7 separate regions of the Mus musculus genome follow, and regions 2, 3, 4, 5, 6 and 7 are each reported to be linked to region 1. The links are microRNA targets in miRTarBase. Many come from high-throughput screens and were not tested one by one. Region 1 holds a microRNA gene; each other region holds the end of a gene's coding sequence.

Evidence for each region. The annotated mature microRNA mmu-miR-190a-5p reads UGAUAUGUUUGAUAUAUUAGGU and lies in region 1 at 1,578-1,599, shown strand. An mRNA with a match to its seed (bases 2 to 7 or 8) in the 3' UTR can be bound and repressed. Matches are read on the target gene's strand: a 7mer-m8 pairs with bases 2 to 8, a 7mer-A1 pairs with bases 2 to 7 and ends in A, and an 8mer does both.
Region 2: the mRNA of Neurl4 is a reported target of mmu-miR-190a-5p. Seed matches in the 3' UTR shown: 7mer-A1 at 3,368-3,374.
Region 3: the mRNA of Zfp239 is a reported target of mmu-miR-190a-5p. Seed matches in the 3' UTR shown: 7mer-A1 at 3,663-3,669.
Region 4: miRTarBase lists Actn4 as a target of mmu-miR-190a-5p. The part of its 3' UTR that is shown has no 7-base or 8-base seed match.
Region 5: miRTarBase lists Dnajc14 as a target of mmu-miR-190a-5p. Seed matches in the 3' UTR shown: 7mer-A1 at 2,986-2,992 and 7mer-m8 at 2,682-2,688.
Region 6: the mRNA of Scai is a reported target of mmu-miR-190a-5p. The part of its 3' UTR that is shown has no 7-base or 8-base seed match.
Region 7: the mRNA of Nsg1 is a reported target of mmu-miR-190a-5p. The part of its 3' UTR that is shown has no 7-base or 8-base seed match.

Annotation. Positions count from the first base shown.
Region 1 is chr9:67,234,234-67,238,298 of GRCm38, reverse strand. Mir190a (microRNA 190a) reads left to right here and starts at 1,573; the gene lies at 1,573-1,639. All of the region lies in intron 53 of Tln2 (talin 2), which reads left to right.
Region 2 is chr11:69,912,918-69,916,982 of GRCm38, reverse strand. Neurl4 (neuralized E3 ubiquitin protein ligase 4) reads right to left here. Exons shown (of 29, transcript NM_001013414.3): 29 at 3,159-3,856. The coding sequence ends at 3,652. Gps2 (G protein pathway suppressor 2) reads right to left here and starts at 2,963. Exons shown (of 10, transcript NM_019726.5): 1 at 2,550-2,963; 2 at 2,122-2,231; 3 at 1,938-2,050; 4 at 1,765-1,844; 5 at 1,593-1,675; 6 at 1,199-1,352; 7 at 1,029-1,118; 8 at 871-950; 9 at 690-785; 10 at 389-563. The coding sequence starts at 2,643. The coding sequence ends at 480. It overlaps Eif5a (eukaryotic translation initiation factor 5A), which reads left to right. Exons shown (of 6, transcript NM_181582.4): 6 at 1-271.
Region 3 is chr6:117,871,576-117,875,640 of GRCm38, reverse strand. Zfp239 (zinc finger protein 239) reads right to left here. Exons shown (of 4, transcript NM_001001792.2): 4 at 2,875-4,065. The coding sequence ends at 3,733. Among named protein-coding and RNA genes, the nearest start is that of Gm38882, 6.0 kb to the left of the region's middle.
Region 4 is chr7:28,890,961-28,895,025 of GRCm38, forward strand. It overlaps Actn4 (actinin alpha 4), which reads right to left. Exons shown (of 21, transcript NM_021895.3): 20 at 3,541-3,699; 21 at 2,288-3,427. The coding sequence ends at 3,269. Capn12 (calpain 12) reads left to right here. Exons shown (of 21, transcript NM_001110807.1): 18 at 1-29; 19 at 1,659-1,775; 20 at 1,863-1,921; 21 at 2,002-2,625. The coding sequence ends at 2,028. Among named protein-coding and RNA genes, the nearest start is that of Gm44700, 4.0 kb to the left of the region's middle.
Region 5 is chr10:128,816,720-128,820,784 of GRCm38, reverse strand. It overlaps Dnajc14 (DnaJ heat shock protein family (Hsp40) member C14), which reads right to left. Exons shown (of 7, transcript NM_001359825.1): 5 at 3,913-4,065; 6 at 3,725-3,827; 7 at 1,337-3,584. The coding sequence ends at 3,374. Ormdl2 (ORM1-like 2 (S. cerevisiae)) reads left to right here. Exons shown (of 4, transcript NM_024180.6): 2 at 271-524; 3 at 680-831; 4 at 1,770-2,883. The coding sequence starts at 351. The coding sequence ends at 1,905. Among named protein-coding and RNA genes, the nearest start is that of Ormdl2, 2.9 kb to the left of the region's middle.
Region 6 is chr2:39,071,253-39,075,317 of GRCm38, forward strand. It overlaps Scai (suppressor of cancer cell invasion), which reads right to left. Exons shown (of 18, transcript NM_178778.3): 18 at 1-3,904. The coding sequence ends at 3,758. Among named protein-coding and RNA genes, the nearest start is that of Gm30067, 6.9 kb to the right of the region's middle.
Region 7 is chr5:38,135,101-38,139,165 of GRCm38, reverse strand. Nsg1 (neuron specific gene family member 1) reads left to right here. Exons shown (of 5, transcript NM_010942.4): 5 at 294-1,973. The coding sequence ends at 494. Stx18 (syntaxin 18) reads right to left here. Exons shown (of 11, transcript NM_026959.3): 10 at 3,864-3,944; 11 at 1,396-2,903. The coding sequence ends at 2,808. Among named protein-coding and RNA genes, the nearest start is that of Nsg1, 23 kb to the left of the region's middle.

The sequences.
Region 1 (4,065 bases):
GGCTACCGTAAATACAAGACACGGTCCAGACCAGTCTCCTAAGTATTTTATCTGGTCCTCACCACTGTCAGACCGTGTGATTGAGTGGGGAGGGAACATAGAGCTGGGGTCCCAGTTTCTGAACACTGTACTCCCTCTGATACCCCATTGGCAGAGAAAATGATTCCCGTCCCTCAGGACCACTGCACTTTATAGTGTCTTAGGCTGTTAGACTTGTCTCCAGTTCCTTTCCTAAGGAAAAAAACCCAGACTTGTGTGAGAGGGATGTTCTAGAAGCTTGGTTGGTAGCAGTAAGAAGTTGGGGTCTTCTTGAAGGGAAATGATGAGGCTGTTACAGTAATGAAGAGTAATGGTTGCCAGACTGTACAGCGTGAAGATGCTTATGGAATGAGTAAAATGGGGAGAAATGATAACACCTAGGCATCCATGGTTAGTGCTTATGTCACAAAGCTGGGAACTAACGGAGATGATCAGCAAAGAACAGCTAAGACTTGAAATGGGACCAGGGAACGGCAGGCTCTGTGTTTTACAGTTCTGGAAAACAATGTTTGAAAACCACACACATTGAAAATGAGGGGGGCTGGAGAGAGGGCTCAGCGGTTAAGAGCACTGACTGCTCTCCCAGAGGTCCCGAGTTCAATTCCCAACAACCACATGGTGGCTCACAACCATCTGTGATGGGATCCGATGCCCTCTTCTGGTGTGTCTGAAGAGAGTGCCAGTGTACTCACTTAAAATAAATAAGTAAATCTTAAGAAAAGAAAATGAGGGATGGTTGCCGGAGGCGGCCTGTGTGGACCCCTTATGTGTACACTGCTAGGCATTATCCATGAAAGTGTCTCAAAGCAGCTTATCATCCCAAAGCATGTAGCCCCGGGCTTGCAAGGAGGGCCGTCCACCGTGGGAAACTTCTTGCACAATGCATAACATCCTCCTGACAGTTACAAAAGAACTTTTCCTCGGCTTAAAAGAAAAAAAATTACCGAAACAGCAAAACCAGCTAATATTTGAGGTTACTTTTCTCCATCCTGTCCTGTAACCTTAAAGACAAAAATCCTCAGGGTGCCATAAATGGCAGCTGCTCCTGCATACTTGCCATAGTGACTGTGGCCACCCACCCCCATACCACGTGAATGAGGTTATCCTCCACCCAGGCAGAGCACCTGTGCTGCTTGGAGGACTAGTTTGGGGAGGGAGGGAGGGAGGGTGATGACTTCCAGCTGTTTTGATTACCTGGTTCTCAGGTTACCTGTTTTAAAAGGAGACTAGTCTGTGGCATGTGAAGATGGTTCTGGTGTAGTTCCACCCTTGGGCCCTGACCATGGAAGCACCTCCCTTTACCTGTAATCTCTCAGACGTGAGTGACAGACAGGTGCACAGACTCCCTTTTCATTTGGGGAAAGGAGCCCAGGCTCAGAGTGTGTGCCACCAGCATTGTTGCTAATGGCATCCTTGCCACACCTACAGACACGCCTGTGTTCCAAGGCAGGCTGGGAGATACTGCAGAGGTGACTGACTCCCACAGCCATATTCTCAAGCTCAGTCAAACCTGGATGCCTTTTCTGCAGGCCTCTGTGTGATATGTTTGATATATTAGGTTGTTATTTAATCCAACTATATATCAAGCATATTCCTACAGTGTCTTGCCCTGTCTCCGGGGGTCCTAACAAAGTTTAGAAGCAACAGGAAAAAATATATTAAAAAATCACAAGTAGGTTTAGATGACAGAGTGCGTATGTTGTTATGTTTCATTCCATTTCTTCGTGTAGCCTTTAAGACCTGTGTCTTAGTTACCTTTCTGTTGCTGTGACAGGATGCCCCAACCAAAAGCAACTTAAGGCAAAAGGGTGTATTATGGCTTAGTTTATCAGGGGCCAGACCATCAAAGAGGGAAGGCCGGCAGTCAGGAAGTAGAGAGATAGGACAGCAGATGGAGCCAGGCCATAAAACCTCAAAGGCCAGTATGTCCTTCAGCAAGGCTTTGTGAATTCCTAAAGCTTCCATAGCCAAATGGCACTGCCAGCTGAAGACCAAATGTTCAGACACACTAACTTATTATGGATGGGGGATGCTTTGTTTCAGACCACAACAAACTGTATCAATACTACTACATTATCTGTTTGTTGTGGAAAGGGAGTATAGCTCCTGAAGGCTTAAGATATTTTCTAAAGTTTAGTTGAATGCAATTAGGAGTCCTTAAGAAAAGTATTCAGTGGAAAAAGATGGAAGATAACAACCCGTGTCTTTGATATAGGACAAAGGTTAGGATTGTAACTGGCAAACACATTGATCTAGATATTTCTTCCTGACAACTCTCAACACACTCTCACAGATTAAATTTTGTAATTGTTTTCCATGCCAAAAAAAAAATCGGGACATTTATTATCTCTAACTTTCCGCTTCTGGTAACAAATCTAAACCCTGGTGACTGTGCTCACTTTACGGATGGTGAGCCCGTAAACCTTAATTGCAGACCTTAATTTGGATCAGATATGTCTGATGAAGAGAACATGCTCGGGACTGTGCTCTGTCGGTTGAGTTTTCTGTTGTAGGTGAACTTCTGCACAGAGGTTGTTAATATTTAGAAGAACCCGGCAGTCCGAAAGTAAACAAATACTCTAATTGGCTGCCGCAGGAAGTTGGGCTATGACCCAGAAAGCATTCTTTCGGGTATATATCAGCCTCTCTGGCTGCTTTGACTTCTTCCCATAAATGAGTCCGTGAACTGTATGTGAGTTTACTCTGAGCTGTCTAGCACAGAGACTATATAAGTACTTTTCCTGGAAATAGCATGGCTATGCTCCCAGGCCTTGTTGGTTTTACCTTAGGAGGAAACAACTCTTGATGGCACTCCTAACTGTGGATGAGCAAGACCTCTTACCCTACAGGGGCAGGAGAGTAGTTTGACGGGGGTCGTCAGAAAAGGAACTTGGGAATATGTAGAAGCCACCATTGGTGAACGAGTAGTTTTTTTAAGCATCGCTCTAAAAGGTCTTTCGGATGAAGACACTTGCCAGAAGTGGTGAGATTTGGGATGGGGGGTAACTCTGCTGCTGTCTGGCATTCCCATGTGGCTGATTCATATTCTGAGTGGGAGTGGGAACGGGCACACAGGTGTTCTGTGACATGGGAAAGCAAACATGTTTTCTGCATGGCTAAGCTACAGGCTTGGAGCTCACATGCCAGACCTTGGTCCCAGACAAGCAGAGAGTGTATTGCCAGGTGGTTCTCTACCAGGACCTTGTTAGGTCCTTAGATGCATAGAAGGCTCATACCAGAGATTCCTAAGATGAACCAAACTGTATCTCATTGAATAATGGAAAGGCTTCTATTGTCCATACTTCCTATATCAAGGTCCAAGTGACCCCTTCTTCCCCTTTTTGAGAGTATGACAGAATTCTAAAGAATTTATTTTCATCAGAGACTAATTATAAGATCAACTCAGTGGTATTACTTTTTATATTGAATATAAGTTACAAAAAATGTAATAAAGCAATTGTATTATATGGGGAAAAACTATTCCCAAGATACTAACTGTGCAGGCTTGGGGCTTTTCCAATGGATGCTACATGAACCTATTCCTTTATTATCTATCTGGATGTGAAGGTGGTGCGTATCCAGCTACTAACATGACTTGCTCAGCAGTGGTTTCTCTGTGTCACCCTGAGCTTCCCCTGAGACCAGGCCTCTGTGAAGGGTACCAGCTGTTCTGGGAGATTTGCCTTTTGTTAGCTTTATTAAGGATGAAGGAGGTCTTAGAGCCAGCCAACCCACTGGTCCTTCAGAGCACAAGTTGATGTAGCCATGGTATGCTTTGGCCAAGACTTTCTCCCCAAAGCATCTCTCAAGTCAAAACCAGAAGCTAGGCAGGAGCAGCCAGGTTCTGCACAAGAAAGGAAAACATGGCCACCTGTTCCACTCAAGCATCCAACTGTCAGGAAAAGACCTCCTGCACGTTGTGGGAGTCCTAGGTATTGGCCCCCGTTTTTCCCTTGAGGACATTTAACTTACATATAACACATTTACACTTTTAAAAAACTCCACTGGACTTCTGACTTCTGAATG
Region 2 (4,065 bases), not on the chromosome of region 1:
CATCCCCGATCTGGTCCCCTGTTCTCCATAGTCCTTCACCCCCAAGCACCACTGTACAGACTGGGGACCAGCCCCTTCCCTGCCTGTGTCTCTTCCCAAACCCCTGTAGGGGTGGTGAGAAGAGGAGGGGGGGAGGGGACACGATCCCTCCTCAGGCATCTGGGAAGGCCTTGCCCCCACGGGCTTTACCCTTTCCTGTGGGCTCTCTCCCTGACACATTTGTTAAAAATCAAACCTGAATAAAACTACAAGTTTAATATGAAGCCCCCAACTCAGTTGTTTATTTGTTGATTGAAAGGTACTTTTAGAATCTAGAAATGCTGAGACTTCATAGTAGCCTTTGTGGTTTAGGCAGTTGGATAGGAAGCAAATAAACAGCACTCAGGCATGATGGTGGGTACATTTTGTACATTTTATTGGTTTGGGGCACATAAGACCCCAGCCTGAGGGATGGAGGGTGGGCTGGAGCTCTCTGGTGGTTACTTGTGATAGAATCTTGGGTTCTGGCTGTGTTGGATGAAAGGGAGTCGGGGGCCAGGTTGGCTGGTGGTGGCAAAGCCTGACTGGTAATGATAAGAGTTTTATCAGTGGGTAGGTATTCCAGCACTCAGCACAAGGGGGAGGGGACAGTTACAGTAAGAGGTTAGTCTTTCCCTGGTAGTATATGTAGGTTTGATTGCCAGCCTTACCTTCCCTGCTGCTTGTATCTGTACGGGAAGCTGGGGGGAAGCCAGGAGTCCAGGGGCTGGATGCAGAGCTTGGGGGTGCATGGGCCGCAGAGAAGACTAGGAGACAAAGCTGACCTTAAAGGGAGGCATCCTGGGGCTCCCCTCATCTTAGCACCTTGGCCTCCCAGGACTCCATACTCACTGAGTCCGAGAAGCTGGTCTGCTGGTTGGCATGCTCCATCTGTTTCTGCAAAGAGAGGGTACTGCCGGGCTGGAGGAACCCTGAGGGGAGGAGAGTTTGAAATGAGCAGGTGGCAGTAGGACTCCTGAAGGTAGGGCTCCTGCCCAGGGGGATCTCACCTGTCTGAGTGGGCTGAAAGTGGCCATGCACTGCATAGGGTTGTGGCTGTGGCTGAGATAGGTACTGCACTGCAGGAAATGCTGATGGGGCTGAGGAAGGTGGGAGATGATCTGTTAGGGTTTGATGCTCTTGCTCTTCTTGCCCCTAGTCTGAGGAGAACAACACTCACCTCTGAGCTGCTGGCTAGGACTATAGGCTGGTTGTGTTGGCCCATAATGAGGTGGGGGCTGAGCAGTCCCATAAGCACCCCCTGGACTGCCTTGGAATTGTCCATGTTCTGGGGTTCCTGCAAAAGCAGCTGCTGATCCCACGTAGTGCCGGGTCTAAGGGGAAATGAAAGCTCACTGCTTAGGAAAAACCCCATATGTATATATATATGCCTTTACGCTCAGCTCCTACATACACATGCTTGGTATATTTGTTCTTGAATGATTGGGATTAACAGTACTGATCCACAGAAGGAGGAGACATGGAGTTAGGATCAGATTTCAAGACTAGTCTTGGCTAGTAACTTAAAAAGCCAGCCTGAAGAGTTAAAAAAAATCAAAAAACCTTTCCCTCACCGTAAGCACTTGTGGTCCAAACATCTGCTTGGCTCTGTCAGCTGCCATCAGAGTACCTGGGCGATTGTGTCCTCCAGGGCTCCCTAGAAAGGGGGAGAGGTTTCACGATGCTAAAATAGGCAGCGACCTCCTGGAGAACTCCCCTGTTAGGCGGTTTCCTCAGTCCTCTCACCCTGCATGCTGAGGAGGTGGGTTCCTGTATGAACCGTCAGGCTCTGCTGGTATGCAGCTGATGTCAGAGTGGTTAAGTCACTGGAGTGGAAGGAAGACAGGTCAGTTAGCCTCTTGCTATTAGATTGTCACCTGTGCCACTGCACAATTTTACTTTTAGCCATCTCATCACACCTCTGTTCCTTTCGCCTCCGTTTTTCTTCCTCATGCAAAACTTTCTTGAGCTGCAAGAAAAGCTGGTGCTTCTCCTCCTGTAGAGCAGAAAGCTTCTCCTGCAGCTTCAGGATCTGGAAGAGGGACGAGCAGCTAAAGCAGGGAAAAGAAGGCATCGAGAAACAAGTGTGGAGAGGCTACTTACCTGTTCCTTGGTCTCCTCTAGTGACATTCTCTCTTCCATTTCCTTTTTCTTTCTTCTCTCCTGCTCTTCTTTCATCTTCTGTTCCATCATCTTGTCCACCTCTTCCTCCTCTGAAGAATCAGAACGGGGAAGTGGCAAGGCGGTGTGAATAAGCTGAGCGTTAGACTGAAGACCAGCAAAAACCAGTTACTCCATCACAGCCACAGGGAGAACTTGGCTTCATTAGGTGCTCTCCAAGGTCCTTCCCAGCCCAGGGTTCTGGTCTGGAACTTAGACTGGGCCTCTTCACTCACACCCCGAAGGCGCCGCTGCCTCCCTCTTAGCCTCGCCAGCAGGCGCACAGCTGGGCCCGTGGATGGGGGCAAGTTCGTGGGTAGCAGGGCCACCCTGAGCCGAGTGTCTGTCCTCCCGCTCTGGCCCAGGCTCACCCTGCCGTTTGCGCTCCCGCTCCATCATGATGTGCCGGTGCAGAGCCCTGGCCATAGCGTTGGAAAGCTTGGGGCGCTCCAGGAGTGCGGGCATGATGCTGTTGGTGACGCTTGGGCAGTGGGCACCCGACTCTCACTGACTGCCAGACCTCAGGCGGGGCCTGCAGGGAAGTGGGAGCTTAGAGAGACTGCGACGCGCCGAAGCGGAAGCCCGTCCGCCGCCCGCTCGCCACTTCGATCACGTGTCCCGGGCACCAGCGTCCCTCCGGGGTCTCTGCCTCAGCGCCGGGGCGCGTGCGAGGGTCTTAGGCTCCGCGCCCCCGCCCCTCCCTCGTAGCCCTGGCGCCAACCCCCGCAACCCGCCTTGTCGGCGCTTTCTCCGAGGCCTTCGGCGCGCCTTGGCCTCTACGTCATATCCGGCGGCCAGGATAAATCCTTCCGGAGTCACGACGGCAAACGGCACAGCCGATTGGAGGAAAGGGAAGGCGGAAGCGCTTAGAGACGGGTGCCGGGATGTCCAAACTCCATGTGGATTTACAGAGCGGCCTGGGATGATAAAGCCCCTAGAACTCTTCACTCGCGAGGCCGCGGGAGACAGAGGCGGAGGCAGATGCTCTGAAGACAGTATTTATTGGCTCCTTAGAAATCAGAGTCAGTAACAACTGTACAGAGGCCCACAGCGTCCTCGGGCAGCCCTTCCTTTTACCCACTCCCTCCCCATGGCGCCCAGTGGCCACGGAAAAAGCAGCTTCATGTGGGCACAGAGAGACTCCTTTGGGATTCACAGTAACCAGAAACAAAAACGGAAATAAATTAAGTGATATGGGGGAGGGTAATAATAGGGAGTCATGTTCCCCAAGTCAGTGCATGAAGGGGGGACCCCGAGACGAGCTGGGCTCCCTCTCAGCAGAGGGAGTGTGCTGGGCCCTGAATGTAGAGATGTGCTTCACACCTGCTCTAAATCAAAGCCTGCCTACGTGCTCCTCCTTGCCAGGACAGCACTGGACATGCTCTCAGTCACGGGAATGAGGTGGAGGCAGTCGTCATTCAAGAGTCCTGGGCTTGAGGCCCGGCTGTGCTTGGAGTAGTGGTATGTCACCCCTTATTCCACTCGTACCAGCAGGGCATAGAGGAGTGTGGCTCCCTTCTCCTTAGTGACCCACTCAAGTTCCGATGGGCTGAAGTGCTGGTCAGGAAGTTCTCTGAGGGCCGCAGAGGGAGGGCCAGGAGTATAGGAGCCAGGGCGCACACACACCTGAAAGGCCACCTGAGCCTGGTGTGTCCGCTGGGATTTTGGGTCCCGGAATCTGTTAGCCAAGCAGAAACGAGAGAAGAGTAAGGCTCCCAAGGTCCATGACTGCTAATTCTGCCCCCTCCACCCAGGCCTTGCTGTTTTCTGGGAAATACTGTTCACCGTGACTGGCTTAGCACCAACTATTGTGTATGTAGTACTCTCCTCCCCTGGCCTGCTCAGCTAACTCCTCCCCAGCACTCTTCATGTGTTTATTTACCCTGG
Region 3 (4,065 bases), not on the chromosome of region 1:
GTCAGTGCTCTTACCTGCTGAGCCATCTTGCCAGCCCTCTTTTTTGTAATTTATGTATCCCTCCACGTTTTGTAGATAACTGAACTTCTGATCCTCCCTGCCTCTTTCTCTCTGGTTGATTGGGTATAAGAATGCCACACTAAAGCCGCACGCCTTTGATCCCAACACTCAGAAGGCAGAGGCAGGCAGATTTCTGAGTTTGAGTCCAGCCTGGCCTACAAAGTGAGTCCCAGGACAGCCAGGGTTATACAGAGAAACCCTGTCTCAAAAAACCAAAAAACAAAAAAGAAAACAAACAAACAAACAAACAAAAAAGAATGCCTCACTAGGCCATAGCTACATTCTTAGCCTTCTTTATGTAGATTTTTAAAAAAAAGTTCCAGACTTAATTACTGTGTTTGAGTTTGTCCTTTAGAACATAGGTATGGCTGTTTCCTCCTAGGCACACCATTTGTCATCCCTAGATAGGTGAAAGGTGGTGCTTGTTCAGCAATAGAGTGTGACTTGTACAGGGTTCACATGACCTCAGTCACACTAAAGGCTTTTTATAGTTAGTCTTGCTTCCTGTCTCTGTGTGAAGATGAACCAGAGGTCAGCCGCATGGGAGGGACTAAAAGCCTTAGCTTTGTCCTGTCTCTTAATATTTCACTAGATATCAGAGGTGACTTCCCAGGACTAAGTCTGTCATTTTGCACATGGTCTTCTAGCCCATTGATTGCTTTTTCTTTTGATTCTTTTCCTTGACTTCCAGGGTGCCACATGCTCTTTAAGGTCCTTCCTCGTCATACACAGGTCTAACCCTTTCTTCCCATGTCTGAATGGTTGGGTTGTATGGTCTGTTAGCACTTCCTGTCTTGTGTTCACTCTCTGTCTCAGCCTCCTCTCTGAGCAGTGTTCTCATCAGTCCTCCCTGGGGGCCGATCTTTCTTGGTAATCTCTCTAGTTATGCTCCATCCATTCTGTCTGCATATCCTCTTAAATGTTCAGAAGACCTAAACTATGTGATCAAACCTTGTCTGTTGCCCAAGCCTGCCCCTTTCTCTTGTTTAGCATCTCTCCTTCCACCATGTGGGATTGGGAGATTGAACTTGAATTCAGATTGTCACCTGCAGCTGGCTTCACCTCATCTTTGCTCTCACTGTCATGGTGACAGAGGCCAGGCATTTCTGCATGATTCTGAAAGCCTTCTGTTTTTTTGTTTGTTTGTTTGTTTTTGTTTCTGATTTGTTTTTGTTTTAGGTTTTTTTTTTTTTTTTTTTTTTTTTTTTTTTTTCCAGACAGGGTTTCTCTGTGTAGCCCTGGCTGTCCTGGAGCTCACTCTGTAGACCAGGCTGGCCTTGAACTCAGAGATCCACCTGCCTCTGCCTCCCAAGTGCTGGGATTTTTAGGGGCTCTGTGGACTTCTCTGGTTACAAATACTATTTGCTCCTTGCTGAGTATAGCAGAAGACAATGGGTGTCTATAATCCCAGCTGCTTGGAAGGCTGAGGCAGGAGGACTGAAATAGGTGTAAGGCCTTTCCTGCTCTTCACATTGCTCTGACTTTTCAGAAGAGAACTGATATCAGCCATTTTGTGGTTTCTTTCTTTTTTCTTTTAGACACTGATTAACACTTTTAGACAATGTGTTAATCAATGAAGTAAGCCTGACCCACATAGTGAGTGCCTGTGCAATCAGAACACAGTGAAACCGTGCCTAAAAGAAAAAAGAAAAAGCCCACGACTTCTTAGAGTTGACTTTGGGGCAGAGTGAGACATTGGACTCTAGTTCCCCTGTGCTACTTGTTGAAGAGATGTCTTTTTACCAATGATTATTTTGGGGGATCTTTGAAAAAAGCCTGGTAGAGGGACTAGGGAGATGTCTCAGCGGTTAAGAGCACAGTCTGCTCTTCCGAAGGTCCTGAGTTCGGGTCCCAGCAACCACATGATGGCTTACAACCTTCCTTAAAATCCTTAAAGAGATCTGACTCCCAGCCGGGCGTGGTGTCGAAAAATCCAAAAAAAAAAAAAAAAAAAAAAAAAAAAAGAGAGCTGACTCCCTCTTCTGGAATGTCTGAAGATAGCTACAGTGTACTTACATATAATAAATAAATCTTTTTGTTTTTTGTTGGTTTTTTTTGTTTTTGTTTTTGTTTTTGTTTTTTTTTTCGAGACAGGGTTTCTCTGTATAGCCCTAGCTGTCCTGGAACTCACTTTGTAGACTAAGCTGGCCTCCAACTCAGAAATCCGCCTGCCTCTGCCTCCCGAGTGCTGGGATTAAAGGCGTGCTCCAGCACGCCCGGTTTAATAAATAAATATTAAAGGAAAAAAAAAAAAGCCTGGTAGCTGTAGCCTGTAGTCGTGTGGGCTGACATGTTGAAGTGAGTTTTATTTTTTGTTTCATTGATCCACATGGCCACTTTATCAGTCTTAGTATGGTTTCAGAGCCTCTGATTGACAGCCACATGGTTCCCATGTTTTTGACACCTCTGATTGGCTGCCACATATTCTTCACATTTCTGAAGCCTCTAATTGGCTGCCTCATGTTCCCCACGTACTGTTTCTCCTCTTCCACTGGATCATCTATTCTCCGTAGCACCCAATGCTAGGTTTACTCTCCTATTTTGGCTCTGTTGCTTCAGGATTTCTCCATTGTTTTTATCATGGAAGCATCCCCAAGAAACTACCTTCACTCGTTAAAAACTAATTATTTACATTCCTGAACAGCTGCCAGAGAGGAGGGACTGAGTGGACTTTCCACCATAGTAGTATGTGGGGAGCACTTCCTGTAGTGTGAGTGCAAACTGATGCACATTTTTGTACTAAACACAACAGGTCACCATGCCCGTTATACCTCCAGCTCCCCCACCCCACCCTCAAATGAACACATTGGACGGTCACAGTTTAAAGAGAGCTATTTAGGACTTAAATGGAATATGAAAAACAAGGCACATAATTTCAGAGGAAACATGAATTCCAATTTCTCAGAGAATATGAATGAAGGGAACCATGCTGTGCTTGGAAAAATACAGAGTTCTTGCAGTTAAAAAATGTAGAATATAATTCTAACAACACTGGCAGAATTGCATTATACACTCTACCCATATGAGAAACCAGAGTAACCCATTCACTGTATAACATAAAATGTGCTGAGTACTCGGATTGATTTCTTCTGTGAGGGGCTATATCGGAATAACCCTTAACTATTTCTTTCCTTTGAGGAATTCAAACGTAAGAGTTTAAAGTATTAAACTGGAGCCCTGGGACATAGCTTAGGCAGCAAAGCTCTTGTCTAGAAAGCTTGAGACAGAATCCACATAAAAAGGTTGGATGTGGTGGCACACATCCGCAACCCTAGCCACGGTGAGCTGGGAAGTGGAGACAGTTAGATCCATGGGACTCTGGCCTGGCTTACTTGGTGACATTACACACCATGTGTGACAGACAGATGCCTAGTCTCACATACAGAATGTAGTATCTGAGATATCCTCAGACGTCCACACACGTGCGTGCACACATACATGCACACACCAGCACAACACACATACCCCTCTCTGCATGAACACACATTCCTAACATGCACAAAGTATTAATAAGCTGGAAACCGTGTGTGTGTGTGTGTGGGTGGGGGCGTATCAGGGCTCAAACTCAGGGACTGATACATGCTAGGCAAGCATGCTACCTCTGATATGCACACTCGGTCGTGAAAAATATTTATCTTTACAATAAAAGTCTTCTGAGTGGGCTCATGTTACTTAGTGAAGCTCCTTGCGGTGAACCCGCTGGTGGATGTGGAGGTTCGAGCTCTGGCTGAAGCCCTTGCCACACTTGCTGCACTCATACGGCTTCTCACCCGTGTGGACTCTCTGATGGATGAGGAGTTTGGAGCTCTGGCTGAAGCCCTGCCCACACTTGCCGCAGTGGTAGGGCTTTTCCCCGGTGTGTACTCGGAGGTGGATCCGAAGGTCTGAACTCTGGCTGAAGCCTTTCCCACATTCGTAACACTGGTACGGCTTCTCTCCCGTGTGGGTGCACCGGTGGATGTGGAGGTTCGAGCTCTGGCTGAAGCCTTTTCCGCACTCCCCACA
Region 4 (4,065 bases), not on the chromosome of region 1:
TGAACTGAGGCTGGCACTGACTGCTGCAGGTGTGGCTGAGGACCTGGGATGCTGTAGGGACAGCAACCCATCCTCAAATTCTTGTCTGCATCCCTCAGCTGTGGCCATCCCTAATAGGCTGTCCACAAGTGCCAGAGCCCATTTCCTTCCCTGGAGGCTCTGACTGCTTATCTGTGGCATGGCTAATGTGTAGTATGGCAAGGAGCCCACAAGATGCCACAGAACACCCCAGATACCCTAAAGCACCTTATGAGGCTACGGAGTTATACAACAGAGGATGAAAATCCCATCCTAAGCCATGGAGAAATGTATGTTAGGGTGGGATTATCGTGATTTCAGAAGACCGTCAGCTCCATGCCTCCATGGGTTCATCTGTGACCACTAAGTAGGAGCCGGGGCAGGCAGGCAGGGGGCGGCACGTAGGCTAGTGAGAGATGAGAGACTACAAGTATGAGACCTAGAATAGTGGCCAAGAACATGGAAGACAAGATCCCAAGGCAGAGTCCAAGGTGGGGGCCAGGGTGCTGAACTAAAGCAGTGGACACAGGACAGAGGGGAGGTCGGGAACTTACTCGATCATCCATCCATTCATCCCAGAGTGCCTGGTTGTTTTGGATAGGAGTCTGATAATAATGTTTGCCTGGGAATCTTCAGCAATTCTAAGAGGTTGACAGAGGGCTCCTGGGTCAGGAACTACTGCCATCTAGCCAGGTTTCCCTTCAGCCCTGGGCCAGCATAGACCAATACTCAGGGTACATGGACATCAGAGGGACACCGACCTGCCTCAGGCCACCTAGCTCTGGGCATGGTGTGCCTGGTGTTCGTGGGGGTGGGAGGGGCAGCATCTGTTGAATGAGCACACAAAGGTACAATACAAACTTGTACAGTTATCTTTGAGACTGTATGGGGCTCATGGAAGCTGGGAGGGACAAGTCCTTGGGCCTTAGGGCTTCTAGAAATCCATTGCATTGTGATTCTACAGCAGATGTGACAGAGCCAATGTCTAGACTTTAGGTGCGGCCTCAGAGGAAGAGTCACACAGTGGTACCCAGTCGGGGAGATAGTCCGTCAACCTCTGAAGGCGCAATCACAAAGCTGCACCTGTTGGCACCTTGAGAAGCAGCCTAAGCAACTTAAGTGTCACACTAACTTCCCAGAGGGCTGGGGTTGTAGCTCAACGGAGAGAGCATTTGCTTGGCCTATGCAAGGGCCCCGGGGTTCCACCCCCAACACTCCAAAACAGCCACAAAAGGCCCACATCAGTTGGAGAGTGCTCCTCAAGCGTGCTGGAGGCCCTGAGTTCTAGATCGAGTACCACATAAACCACAGGCTGAACTCTTGGCACCCGAGGAGGGGCAGGGGCCTCAGGAGCTGGTGACAGTCCTTGGCTATGTAGGAGTTAGAGGACAGCTTCTTTCAAACAGCACACAGGAATGCTGCGTAGGTAAGGAACTTTTACTTGCAACTCCAGTGTGAGGGCCAGAGTTCAGATCCCCAGCACCCACGTGAAGGGCAAGTGATCTCGGTGAGCCTCGGCCTCAGTAGAGAAAGGACTGAGGAAGACGCTCCCCATGTACGTGTGCCCACCCCCAACACTAAAATAAGCAGCACCACACGTGGATACTGTAAACACAATAAACAAGGCGGCCTCCTCGTAGGCTTCCACCTCAACAACCAGCTGACCCAGTCCCTCACTAGCCGCTACCGGGACAGCCGGCTCCGTGTGGACTTCGAGCGCTTCGTGTGCTGTGCAGCCCGGCTCACCTGCATCTTCCGTGAGTACTCCTGGCAGGCAGGGTAGGGTGTGGTGGGGTGTGCATCAGGGCTGGTGCTGCGTACTCACCCTGGCCTCTCCCACACAGGCCACTGCTGCCAACACCTGGATGGCGGCGAGGGGGTCGTCTGCCTGACCCACAAACAGGTGAGCTGGCCCGAGGGACAGTGTGGCTCTAGCACCATCCCAGGGCCTCTGCCTCAAGGGTATCTTTCTTTTCTCTTCAGTGGTCGGAGGTGGCTACCTTCTCATAGGTTTGAAGCTGAGGGAGGTCACCCTGCTGCCCGACTCACTGTCACAAAGGTGGTGGCTATGTAACCCTGGCCGGCCTCACAAGTGCTGGGATTACGAGCTGGAGCCATCCCAAACAGAACTGCCACCCTTCCTTTTGAAGCCTCTTCATGTCAGTCCCTGCTTAGAGAGGGGCACAACCCCCACACAGGCACTGGGCTGGTGGGCACTGCCAGCTCCTTGGGGCATGAACAGAGATGCAGGGAGAAGATGACACCAGAGTCCTTCTTAAAAATATTACATGTTTTATTCTCCCATCCCCAGAGGGTGGTTTATCCAGAAACCAAGAAAATAAAAATCAATCAGAATAAACTCAAGGGGGCGAGTGGAGAGAAACCCATTAACGACCAGGCAGGCAGGCCAGCAGCCTGCCTCCACCTCAGAAGGTCCCCAGAGACCTCTGCCCACCGCCACGAGGGGAAAATCAGGAGGGACTGGGGAGGGCATTGAATCAGCTATGTCTTCATTATGAGAGTGAGAGAGGTGGCAGAGATATGCAGCTAGATGGATATATATTTATATAATAAATCCGTAAGTTAATAAAGTAAATAGTAATTCTCTGGAAGGTCTTAAGTTTTTAAAGTTTTCTTTTTTTTTTTAAGTTTTTTTTTTCCTTTTTTTTTTTTTAAATGATTTTTTTGTTTGTTTCTGTTCCATTCTTTGTGTTTTGTTGGTTTTGGTCCTTAGAAAATCTGAGACTCAGAGGCCAGGTGGGCTGGGGCTGATTGCCCCGCAGCCACTCCTGAGGCAGAGAAGGGCTATGGCAGGTCCTCTGCTCCTGGGAGGAGCCACTGGAATCTGGTCCAGGGGAGCTGGGTGCCCTCTGCTGGACTTCTTAGGGCAGGCGGTTCCTGGACAAGGCACATGGGGCTTTGGCCTAGATGTGAGAGGCTTTGAAGGGGCCTCAGGGGCAGAGGGGACCTGGGATAGGAAGGTATCTCTGGGGCACAGGAGTCCGTTGTCCCCTCCAATCGGCTAAGAACCCACAGCACAGCGTATATATTTAGCAGACCAGAAATGCTGATTGCCAAGCCTCCCTCCCCTACAAGACTGAGAAAGAGAGGCCTGCCTAGCCCCTCCCTGCCTGACCCCCTAGAAGGACCACAAAGAGCTCTTTGCATAGATACAGAGTCAGGGTGGGGGCAGGGCTCCTCAGCCCCTCCGGGAGGCCAAGGGAGTCTCTGTTCAGGGTGGCCAAGGGCCTCACAGGTCGCTCTCCCCATAGAGGGCTGTGGAGAAGGACTTGTAGTCAAGGGCGCCAGGAGCAGCATCAGGCCCCTGGTAGGGTGCCATGCGGGCGATGCAGTACTCGGCCTGGTCGGGGGGCAGCTCTCTCCGCAGTTCCTCAGCAGTGATGAAGTTCTAGGGGCATAAACAGGACTCTGAGCCACTGTGTCTTACCCACTTGACCTAGTACCCAGTGCTGGCTCAAGTTTTGGCTACCGGCCGCCAATGCTTCTGTGGGTCGTGCTTACCTTGTCTCCTGCCAGGACCTTGAAGGAGGCGATGACCTGATCAGCTGTGTCTGTGTCTGTGGTCTCCCTTGACATGAAGTCAATGAAGGCTTGGAAGGTCACGAGGCCACTATGGTTGGGATCAACCACACTCATGATCCGGTTGAACTCAGCATCACCCTGTGGGGAGGGGGAAAGGGAGAGGACATAGTACTTAGTGGAGCTGCTTACAGATTCAGTTTTGGAAGAATTCAAAGACAGAAATGCTGCCAAATAGTGCCAGCCTTGGGAGTTTGTCCCTTGGCCTCCTCCCCCCAAGTCTGGGGGAGCAGGGGGTGAGGTTCACTTTCCCAGCTTTGGTGGGTGGGGAAAGAAAATGAGAAACAGAAAGAGAAGGGAGAGAGCTGGAAGACTGTTCCCTGGATACTTGCAGGAAGAGGTTGGTTTTTCGGGGGTGGGGTGGAGGGTGTCCACTGGAAGGACCCCAGCCTCGAGTGCAGCAGAGCAGCGGAGGCAGGCAAGGCTATGTTGCACTGGAGTTGGAGG
Region 5 (4,065 bases), not on the chromosome of region 1:
GGGGATCCAACTCAGGTCTTTAGGCATGGTGACAAATACCTTTTCCACCTTAGTCATTTCGAAGACCCTCTTGCCTTTTTGTTTGTTTTGGAGAAAGGTCAAACAGTTCTCATGCCTCAACCTCCTAAATTCAGGGATTACAAGCATGAGCCACCACACCCAGCTGCTTCACCTCTTCTCAAGTTTTAACAAAGTGTTCAGTTTTTCCTTTTTTTGCATGGTAGGGAAATTCTTTCATTCCCAAGACTTCAGGGGATTTTGGCTTTTCAGGAGACAGCTGGGGAACAAGCTCAATCAGGGCTAATGAGGAGACTGAGTTGGACTCCTGCCTGATCCCTCACTGTGGTAGGATGAATGTGGGGGTGGCACACAGCGAAGTAAACCCCAACACTCGAGTGATGAACAGTCGGGGCATCTGGCTGGCCTACATCATCTTGGTAGGACTGCTGCATGTGGTTCTCCTCAGCATCCCTTTCTTCAGCATTCCTGTTGTCTGGACCCTGACCAACGTCATCCATAACTTGGTGAGCACTAAACCAAACCCTGTACCCAACCCAGGTCTATCCCAACCAAAACAAAACAAAGTCACCAGCTGTTCGGGGATTTATGTCTTCCTTTTGGGATCTTGACCCAAAGGACTACTTCCTACCCCTTATACTGTCCCTTTCCCTCTTCCCAGGCAATGTATATCTTCCTACATACAGTCAAAGGGACGCCCTTTGAGACCCCTGACCAAGGAAAGGCTCGGCTTTTGACACATTGGGAGCAGATGGACTATGGACTACAGTTTACCTCCTCGCGAAAGTTCCTCAGCATCTCTCCTATTGTACTGTGAGTCTGGGTGTGAAGGAGATGCTGGGTTGGAAATGGCTCTACTAACCAGGGAAAAGGTACTAGGGGTTGGGGAAATGGTTTAGTCAAGTGCTTGCCATAAAGGATAAGGACTTGAGTTCAATCCCTTGCACATATGTAAAAGCCAGATGTGGCCATGTACAACCATGAGTGCCTATAATCCCAGCACTGAAGAGTCAGAGGCAGGAAGATCCCTAGGGCTCGCTGGCCAGACAGTTTAGCCAAATTGCTGCACTCCAGAGTCAGAAAGCAACCCTGGCCAAAAAAAAAAAAAAAAAAAAAAAAAAAAAAAAAAAGAAAGAAAGAAAAGAAAAGAAAAGAAAAGAAAGTAGAGAGCAATTCATGACAACTCATGTTGAACTCTGGTCTCCATGTGTACTAACCCTTGAACATGTACCTATGTTTACACACACACACACACACACACACACACACACACTCTAGTCCTAAGCCTACATTATAAAGTACAAGACATAGTCAAGCATTCCTTGCTGGTTCCATGGTATTAAGGAAAGGGAGAAGGGACTGAAAATAAACCAAACTCCTAACTAAAGCCAAGTGATTTTACAGTCCCAAAAGAAAGCAAGAAGGTAAAGGCAGAATGTATATTAATGGTTAAAAAGTAAAACTGACTTGGAGAAAGGAAGCAAAAAGGGCTCCAAAAGTCATATATGCTGAAACAGCTTTGGCTGTCATTTGCAGTTTATCATTAACCATTAACAAACAAACTGATTTATCATCTCTAGTTAAAGATGCCTTCTGATTATATCCTGAACCTCATTAAATACCATTGATTAGCTGAAATAGTTGTTGGACTACATGCAATAAAACTAGTAGTTCAAAATAGAAAAGTCACTGGTAAGGCATGAATGTGATTTGGGAGGCCAACCTCCATCATCCTAATTCTTTTCTCCTAGTTACCTCCTGGCCAGCTTCTACACCAAGTACGATGCTGCTCACTTCCTCATCAACACTGCCTCGCTGCTCAGCGTGCTGCTGCCTAAGCTACCCCAGTTCCATGGGGTTCGTCTCTTTGGAATCAACAAATACTAAAAGATGGTTTGCTAGTTCTGCAGGCATTGAGGGAAGGCACTGGAACTAATATATAATGTTTTCCCTTCTCCACACTATCTTCTGTATCTTGGAAGCCTGAGAGATAAGATAAACCTATCTAAACTCCAAGAAGGAAGAAACTGGAAAATGGGGTTCCTGGGTCCAGTCTTCATAGGGTCAAGATTCTCTGAATCAGGAAAGGTGGATGAGGTTAAGGGCACTACCACTCACTCTCCTCTATCTAGCAAGAAGCCATCATTGTTTGGGCAGCTTTTCTGGTGATTATGTTTTTCCATATCTTCTAAACCTACCAACTTCAAGTTCTGTTTTGCTGTATATTTTTCTTAAAATAAAGTCTTTCAGTTATGGCTGAAATTTGATAAGCAAGGACAGAGAGATTTTCTCATAATGCTGGGGAGAAAATGCAAAATGCTGACTTACTATAAAAAAAACTTTTAAGCAAAATTTTGTCTCTACTCCTTTGGTCCAATACCTTTCACTCACAGCTAACAGCAAGGAAAGAATTCTCAAATAAGAAAAAAGAGCTCACAAGTGAGTAGTGGAGGCACATGCCTATAATACTAGCTAGCCCTCAGGAAGTGGAGGCAGAGGCAGGAGAATCACTGCAATCTGGAGTCCAGCCTGGTCTACACAGTAAGACTCTTATCTCCAAAAGAAAATAGAAAAGGACTCCCAGCTACATGGGTAAAGAAGAGAAGGAAGATGTAAGTTGCCAGTTATATATTTATAGAAAGATAATCTCCTGGCTTTAAATAGATATGTACATACAAATATGAACAAACTTAAAAAAATACAAACCCTTGGCTAACAAGGGGGCCTCTGGGAACCCCTCTATCCTTCCCCCTCACCCAAGGGCACAGGGCATAAATCTGCTTTTTAAAAATTAATTAATTTTGGCCATCCTTGCAACAACAAGCCTGAAGTTAGGTGTCTTACCAATAAAGTGAAAGTCAGAGGAAAAAAATCAGTTTCCACTCTTGAGTTCTGTGTCTCCAAAATTAGGGCTACATGCTTTTTCTTTTAGCTAGTATATCAGGGTAAAGGGGGGAGGGGAACCCCTGATATGGGTTTAAGAAATAAGATACACTCATTTAAAAGGGGGTGTGTTTCATCTGCTCTTAAGAGCAGATGATAAGATAAAGGCATACAGACCCCAGAGAAATCCCCAGTTCCCACACCTCAGAAGCATACTGTCTGGACTAGGTCCAGCCCCTAAGTTCTTTGCTCTGACCACCTCCTATTTCTTTGGTATTGTCAGAAAACAAGATTCAGTTCCTGGGTGTTGGGGAAGAGGGAGAAGAGGTCATGGGCTTCCTCTAAGTACTGAGTGAACAATTTAAAATGTTTCCCTTTTTAAAGTATTTTAAAATAAATCAAATTCCATCCTGTGCTGTACACAGCCCTTTTGACTCCCTGACATTGATTTGAGGAAGGAAGAGAAGGGGTGTCATCGTTGAAAGGGCCGCCTCACTTTCTTCCGCCGTTTAGGTTTGGCTTCTCCCTTGGGTACTGAACTGTTGGGCCTAGAGGTCGAAGTGGTCCCAGGGCCAGGGTGAGGTGCGGCAAAGAAGTTCCCATTGGACATCGGCCCCGGAGGTACTTGAAAGATCCGGCTCAAGAAATCCTGCAGGTCAGCAGGAGGGGACTCTGGAGTGGCCCTGAGGGAGAAAAGAGGCAGAAGACATTATAGTCGGCTTCCAAAATTAACTACACACCGAGAGTCAGTGCCCAAACTTCCTAGAAAACAAGGCATCTGAAACCATACAACTGACATAGTAGGTGTGAAAGTATCACCTACCTCTGCCGGCCACTGGTGCCGGGTACCCGAGAACCAAATGAGATGTGGTAAGGAACTCTGTGAGTATCTGGGGAGATACCCACACGCTGGCATCCAGCCCACTCTGCAAACAGAGATAATTACCCAAAACATTAATTCATAGCAAATGAGATGAAATAAGATCTTGTATTTGGAGGTCAGAAGTGTACCTGTGATGTCATACACCTTTCCATCCATCAGCGCAAAGTAAGTGATCTTGAGGCCCAGCATGCTCGACTCTGCCCAAAAGTCTCCTTCCTCAGCAGGATGCAGCCTGTTACACTCAGCACAGTATCTGGCACTCTTGGGTTCCCGGTCCATTT
Region 6 (4,065 bases), not on the chromosome of region 1:
AATGCATCTCCAGTCCAGAACATTCTCTTGTTATTGAGGTGATTATAAGTCTCCACGGATAAGTGAGACTTTTCAACTAGGTTGAAACCCCACCTCAGACATAGACAGAGACTGAACTTGGAGAAGAATGCTTCAGAAGGACCTGTGTCTGATTCGGAAGTCTGAGCTGGACTTCTTCCTTGACACTAATGAAATTCAGTATCATTACCTATTTAAGGGAATTCTATTACATGATGGAGGAGAAGAAACAAAACCAAACTCTAAACCCAGACCTCGAGTCAGGAAAACCTCAAATAACAAATTACACTTCAATTCCCAAACTGTGAAACATTTTAACTTTGTTAAAAAGTATAAAGGGCACAATAAATTCTGTGCTTTGAAAGTTTTTGAGAGCACCGCTTCCTAGGAGGGATATACTTACAAAGAATATATACTGCCTAAAATCAAAGAAAAAAAATCTGATTTTATAATTAATAAAAAATGCTAGTGGTGGCTGATTCACTGGCGAGAATATTCATTATACTGGGATTTAACCACAGAGCCTTGCAGATGCTAGGCAAGCACTCTATGACTGAGCCTTATCTTGACTGGTTTGAATTTCCAAAACAGAACAAAATCCTAATTTTTATGTTAAGATTATACAGCTCTAAAAATTTCCCTCCTGTTTATTACAGAAAGAAGTTTAAGCAACTGGGCTGAGATGAGCTCGTGTTTGTTATGTCTATCACCAAATAACCAGTAGCTTCTGACATCTCAGCTTGCTTCCTATAAGACAGGGAAGGTTTAGTATCAGAAATACATGGATACAGAAAGAAAATCCTGTTGTGCTTCACTTTGCTTTGTGCATAACCAGTCTCTTACAGTCTGATTCTTCCTAGTTTGTTTATAGTGATTCTTAAGACACCAGAAACTTTATCAGAATCTACAGAGAAATTTGTGCAATTTGAGTACAAAAATGTTGCTCCCTTGGCTTTGCTTTTTTTAGTCTTACTATTTAAGTTTTTAAAAATTCTAAGATTAAATGGAGCTTAAAATAGGCAAATCTATTTTTGCAAAAGGGTCTCATACTGTAGTGCAGGCTGGTCTAGAGCTTACTCTGTATAGCTAAGGATGGCCTTGAACTCCTGATGCTCTTGCTATACCTCTAAGTACCAGGGATGGAAACCAGGGATATACGCATGCTAGGCAAGGTTCTAATACTAAGCCCGATCTTAATCCTCAAGGCAAAGATTTTTAAGTCTCCTCTGCTTACATTTCAATGCCATTAAAAAAATAATGTGGTATGTGTGACGTATGTTTGTTTTTATTTTTTAAGGCAAAGATTTTTTTTTTAAAGTTTCAAATTCCCTACTCCAGTTTTGCTTTCAAAAGATTTCAGATCTCTTAACAATTGTTTTTGAGGTGGACTTTTGCTATATAATCTAGATTAGCTCTGACCTTGCAACCTTCCTGCCTTAGCCTCTTATGCACTGGGATTAAAGGCATGCACCACCATACCCAGCTCAAAATTGGTTCTATTGTTTTCTTTCTTAAAAATATATTTTTTTCCCCTAGTGATGAAGACCAAACACAGGATTTCTGAATACTAGCTAAATGCTCTACCAAGAAGCTACAACCACAGCTTTGGTCCATTTTATATCTTTAACCACGAGTTAGGAACTGTATTTCTATTAGTTTAAGAACCCATGTTATAATCTAGTTTTACACTGGCATCTGCAACATACATTTTTTTTCTGACCATGGAAGGTCTAATTTCTCCAGGAAAGTCTCTTTAAGCAAGTCTCAAAACAGCAAAGTATGACCTAGGATTTTTTGGTTTGTTTTGAACCACCTTAGTAAACACGATATAGAAAGGATATTATAGTGCTAAAACCACACAAATCAACTTTTTTGGAAGCAATGGGGAGGAAATCAACACTTTTGGAACAAATGTTCCAAACTGTAGAATCACAAACAGGAATAGGATCTTAACCGAGTCGCTCTATTTTATATGGAAGAGTGCTAAAAAACAGATTATTTGTCTGTCAAAGGATATCATGCTCATTACTAGAAAAGCCAGGATTAGAACTCAGACCTCTTGCTTTTGAAACAACTGGTCCTTAGGCTTAGCAAAAAAGAATAAAACACTGGTCAAGGCCACTTTAGATGTCAGGGAACAGGAAAGTATGCATTGTTGGTCAGTACTTAAGGGAACTGGAACAGAGGCCAGACTACTAAGGAATATTTACTGCTACATTCCAGGAGGAAAGTTTATAAAAGGAAAATCATGATTTGCAAACAAATGGAAGTAGGCCTTTTAAAAAGGAAAAACCTCTATCTGGAAGGGCTCTTTCCAGATTAACCTTTTTCTAAGCTTTTAAAAATACTGTCTGAAAGAACATACAAACAATTTTAAAAGCAAATGAAACTTCCTAAGTCCCTGACCCAACCATGACCTGGACTTCACAAAGTAAGTGCACTGGAGCAGATATGGCCACAACTTACACCCACGTGATGCTCTAGTGAGAGTTAACTGGGTTAAAATACCATATCAAAAATTTCCTTAGGGCCACAGGAAAGAGGTACTGAAAACAACCACCTCATTTCTCTAGGACTGTCAGGGGTAGACACAGGCAGAAGACCCTACAATTCACAGATTTCTGAATTTAAATGCCATGCAACCAAAAGATGCCAGGAAGGAAGAACCTTCACAGCTAGGACCTTTGAGATTACCAAGGAGATGGAGGGAAGGATGTACAAAACGTTTATATTACATATTGAGTCCTATTTAAAATAACAAAACTTGTGCATGAATATAAAATAACAAAACACAGGGAGTTTTAATATCTTCCAAATTGTTAAAGCAAAATTAACTCACGATTTACTTCCTTAACACCCAGTTATCCTCAACTCACACAGAGTCTCTCTAACATCCATGCCTTGGAAACTTGAATATGAAAAAAGATTAGAAAAACTGTGCAGCGGATATACCAAGGAATCCATTACAACACTGTTTAAAACCAACCAACGAAGAATCTGTGTAGAGATCCAACTATGAAACCAATGACTTGATTTTTGGCTGAAATACTTAAAAGTATTTTCCTTTGCATTTTTAGCATTCATAGACCACAAAGAAAAGTAAATATGCAAACAAATCATAATAGTACTCATATTCTAAATATCTGTCATCTTAAAGTTCCTATTTAAAATTTAATTTCCAGATGCAAACAATTCTAAATAGGTTCTAAAAATTTAACATCATTTAATGAAATTCAGAGATCTCAAGACATCAGTTTGTACATCAGAGAGTAACTTATGTCCTACCGATTAGTGTGAAGTGAAAAGCAACTCCACAGAAGGGCTCTGCTCTTGACTTTCATGTGGCCAGTTTCACCTCTATGAACAATTAGGTATTTCCCAAATCCAGACACTTCCAGGTCCAAGTTTAACTTATGGATTGTCCTCATTATGGAAAAATAAACAATATATGTTCTTCTTAAGGTGACAACAGTAACTATTTGAATGTGGGGGTAGATGTTGGAGGTAAGTATCTAATGCCAAGACCAAAAAAATAAAAATTTCAAGATTGAGAATTTAAAAGACTTGAAAGATTATATTTTAAAAGTTACCCTAAAAGTTTGAACTTTTTTCAGTTTGCTTTTAAAATGGTGTTTCCTAAATCCAAAAATAAAAACCAAGTAACACACTATGTCATTACATTAAAAAATTGCACCATTTAAAATCTGTGGAAAATGAAAAACTGTTAAACAAGAGGGTTTTAATAGTCATCCATAGAATTCTCAAAGAAGATGTTTCGAACATCCAGAATGGAGGCCAATTCCAAAATGTGCTTCTGAAGGTGAGGATTCTCTACGGTTTCATCCCTTGGCAGTTGTGGATAGGATTCTGGGTAATTTCGCGTTTCCTGGTAAATAAGGAAAGTCAGGTTCACAGAGTGCTGCGAGGAAATTACTTGGCTTAACAGTATTAAATGTTAAGTTAAATGTTTATTTTCTTCTCTTACCAGTTATTATTACTAGTATATTTATTTATTTTTTTGACTTTTAGACGGGATCTTGTTATCCC
Region 7 (4,065 bases), not on the chromosome of region 1:
TCCTCAGTGTTCTTCCTCTTACTTTAGTTAGATTGTCTGTAGGTGTGTCCAAAGTGTCCTTGCTTCGAATAGATGAGTGTGAAGGGAGGCACACCGCCTGCTCCCCCTATCCTGGGAGCCCATCTTCTACACAGCTGTCCCTCTGAGGGCAGGCCCCATCCCTCTGTCCATGCTAGTGTCTCTTCTTGCAAGCTCAGGGGAGAGGCTGAGGAGCTACTGGGGGACAGTAACTGCAGGAACACGCTGGCATGCCTTTGTAACTACTGCCATCTCCACGGCCTCTTGTCTTACAGAACACCCAGTGCATCCCAGAAGGCTTGGAGAGCTACTACACGGAGCAAGACTCCAGTGCCCGGGAGAAATTTTACACTGTCATAAACCACTACAACGTGGCCAAGCAGAGCATCACCCGCTCCGTGTCGCCATGGATGTCAGTTCTGTCAGAAGAGAAGCTGTCGGAACAGGAGACCGAAGCTGCAGAGAAGTCAGCTTAGCGAGCAGGGCAGGTTCCTTACGATGTGTCACTTGAAGGCAACAAGGGGACTTTGAGGGACATTTCATTAAATATAATTACCGATAATTTAGAGATTACTCATTTACGGTGCAATTGCTTCTGTTTGCTAATGCTGCTTTGCAAATTAAACTTGCTGCGGACCACCCACAGGCGTAAGAACAAGAGCATCTCAGCATTGCTTAGAGAGCTGGATGCCACTGTCCACGCTGAGGAGTCTTCATTTAGCTCCTTCCCTGGGATTCACTGGATACTGTCAAAAGGTAATCTACACTGGCTATGCCAGGGGTCTGGCCGTCAGAACAGCACAGCTGCTGGTTTCCTGTTTTCTTTTCTGCCCCTTTGCTATCTGCAGACCTTACTCCATAGCCATATCTAGAGTGATCCCGTGCTTTTGCTGGTGGCAGTGCTGACTGTCAACATGCACTGTTGAGCGGCGCAGAGAAGGGGACGTGGGCACCACGACGCAGCCCTGCCAGGCAATTCTGGGAGGTTCTCTTTGGTATGTCCCCTGAGCAGAGCACAAGGATGGGGTGGGGAAGAGCTGGCTCTGGGCTAGGGGGTCGCCGAGCCTGTTTCTCTGTGGGTGGGCTGTCTGCTGGTAATGTGCTAGGTAGGAAGAAAGCCCACTGGTTCTTTTCTTTCCTGTTATGAATATATTTGCACGTACAGCCCTGAATGCAGGTGCAGTTTGGGTTTTTTGTTTTGTTTTGTTTTGTTTTATTAGCCAGTGGGCAAAGTGAAATGTAATTTTGGGTAAGCCAGGGCTACTTTAGCTTTTCTTCTGTGAACAGATGTGACTCCTGTGCTGTGGGAAGGGGCAGGACGGCTGGTGGGGGGGGCTGATGTGGCACCTTGCAAATAGAATATCTAAGTCCACAATCTTTGTAAGAAAAGTATGTTTATGTTTCAATCTGAATCTTGACATTAAAGTATATGTTTACAAAATCACCAGTAGGTAAACTAAATGTGTAAGACAATTAAATAGAAAAAGCTATTCCTGATTGTTTTCTTCCATGTTCTCAGAATGTGTTGTTTCTGGTGGGCATGTCAGAAGTCTCGGCGTCCTTTAGTAGGTCAGAAATAAATGGCAAATAGTCTGAGACCTTTGTGAACAAGCATGGTGGCCACCATCAGCTCCACTGCTGCTTCCTGAGGTGTGCTACTGAGACAACATCATGTATTGTTGAGGTGTTCTAAAACAAAGGGCATGAGCTCAGCACAGGGGGAGGGGCCACACAGTCACGAGCTTGAAGTGCATTGGAAAGCTGCGAGGAATGCGCAAAGAGCAATACACATGTGCCAAAACTTGTCTGTAGAGGGATCCGACTCATGGGCCGTGTGCGTGCAGTAGGCAGGCCCTCTGTGTTTTCTAACGTAGCCCTTTACCCACTGTGAACTCTCCCAATGTAATTTCTCATTTTTACTCTACAAATAAAGAGCTCGTGGGTACTTAAGCCGCACACTGGACTGTCTGTACTCATGTGCTTCCGCAGGAATTGTGTAACCCAGGATACATCTGTACACAGATGTAGGCCATGTGCTATACACTTCTAGTTCTCAACAGGCAACCCTGTGGCCTCTTCTAGAGGGGCGAGTATGCAGGAGCAAGAGCAGAAGGCCCACTCTTCTGAGGTCCACACCCTTCTTGGAACACAAATATCTGGGACTCAGTGGCAGGAAATGAGGCTTCGTGTGCCTCTAGGCCCTAGCTTTGATGTTAACAAGACAGGGAGCCAGGTCAGGAGAGAGGCTTAGTGGAGGGCCCCAGAGCCTGCCTGTCCAGCCAGGTGGTGGCCAGAGGGGCTCAGTGGAGACTCACTGACTGCAATAAGTGGCTGTAATTGCATTTATTAGCTCGACAAGGCAGATGTGAATTATTGTCTATGACAAAATGGCCATGTATCAGCACACATTAGATGCCACAAGGAAATAAGAACTGATGACTTTAGCAACATTAGGCATGTTCTCCCCTGAAGCTACGGGCGTGGGAAGGGCAGGAGATGGGCCCCAAGCCTGTAATGGAGATAGGAGGCCTGCCATTTCCTTGCTCTGCTCAGTCCCCACCATGCTTGTGGCCTGTCCTGAAGGTGCTGCTCCTGATGGCCTTTTATTTTCCACCCTGAAGGGCACTTGCAATCCATGTATTTCCAGGTCCTGAGAGGTTCCAAAGGTTGGCTTGGGGGCGGTGTTTTCCCAGCCCTTGGACCTTACACAGCTCCACAGCCGATGAGACACATGCTGGCACGTGGTGCGTCCAAGGCACAGGCGCAGGCGCAGGCTCAGCCCTGGTGGGCTAGCTGTCATACCAGTCGAGGAAGAGCAAGGAAAAGGAACACATCACGAGGAAGAAGAGGATCCACACTCGGAAACCTGCATTGTTTTTGATGGCCTGGCAGGAGGAGCACAGGCGTTAGCACCAGCCTGGACTGGGTTTAGAAGCCCTAGGTGCCCTGAGCACACCTCTATGAATCCCATGCTCTCATTAGATAGGCACAAAAGCCACTGTGCATGGACACTGACAGAGAGCAAAGCCCTTATATTTCTTTTTCTTTTCTTTCTTTTTTTTTTTTTTTTTTTTTGGTTTTTCGAGACAGAGTTTCTCTGTGTAGCCTTGGCTGTCCTGGAACTCACTCTGTAGACCAGGCTAGCCTCAAACTCAGAAATCTGCCTGCCTCTGCCTCCCAAGACATTTTTAAAATTACATTTATCTCAATGGTGGGTAGGTGGGAATACATGCCACCGTGTATGTGGGATAGGGTCAGAGGAAAATGTAGAATTAATTCTCTGCTTCTACCCTGTGGACTTCAGAAATTAAAATCAGATAGTCTTGCCTGGCAACAAGCACTTTTATCCACTGAGCCATTTTGCTTGCTCTGTCCTTAACCTCTTCTGTTGGGCAAAGCCTAACCTCCCAGGACTCAATTCCCCAGGGACCAATCCCATTTGAACCAGGGCTTGGGTGTTCCAGTGATGCCGGTCTGTGGTGACACAGGAAAAACTAGGAGGTCTGGGATTTAGAGACAGCTGGCTCATAAGGCTAGGTGCCCTTCACAGTTAGTTTCTGGGCTCCTCCTCTCTGTGGACTCATCCGTGGTTTCAGATTATCCTGACCCTACCTGGGTGCTCTCCCACCCACTGTCCTTGCAGGGATGGAAGCTACTTTCTCTTGAGAATCCGCAGGTGTTATGAACACATGCTCTGAGGCTGGCCCTGACAGTAAACCCATGGCTACAGCTGCAAGGTGGACCCTAAACACTACACAGTATTCTTGGACAACCTCACTAATGGGATTCAGGCTGCTGGGATGCAGTGCTGGGCCACATCAGACTAGAAAGCACAAGGTACCCACCTCTCGGATGTCTTCGTTGCCTTCCTTAATATTTTCAGTTGCCCCCACGACTAACTGGTGAATGCTGTCGATCTCAGTTTCCTGTGGAAGAGAAGAATATCAGGGAAGACAAGCATTCTTTTCTCCACCAAGAAGACATTCTTCTACAAGTACTTGTCTGAAGCATAAAGCTTTCAGGGTGACCAGGCTGCAGTGTGGACAC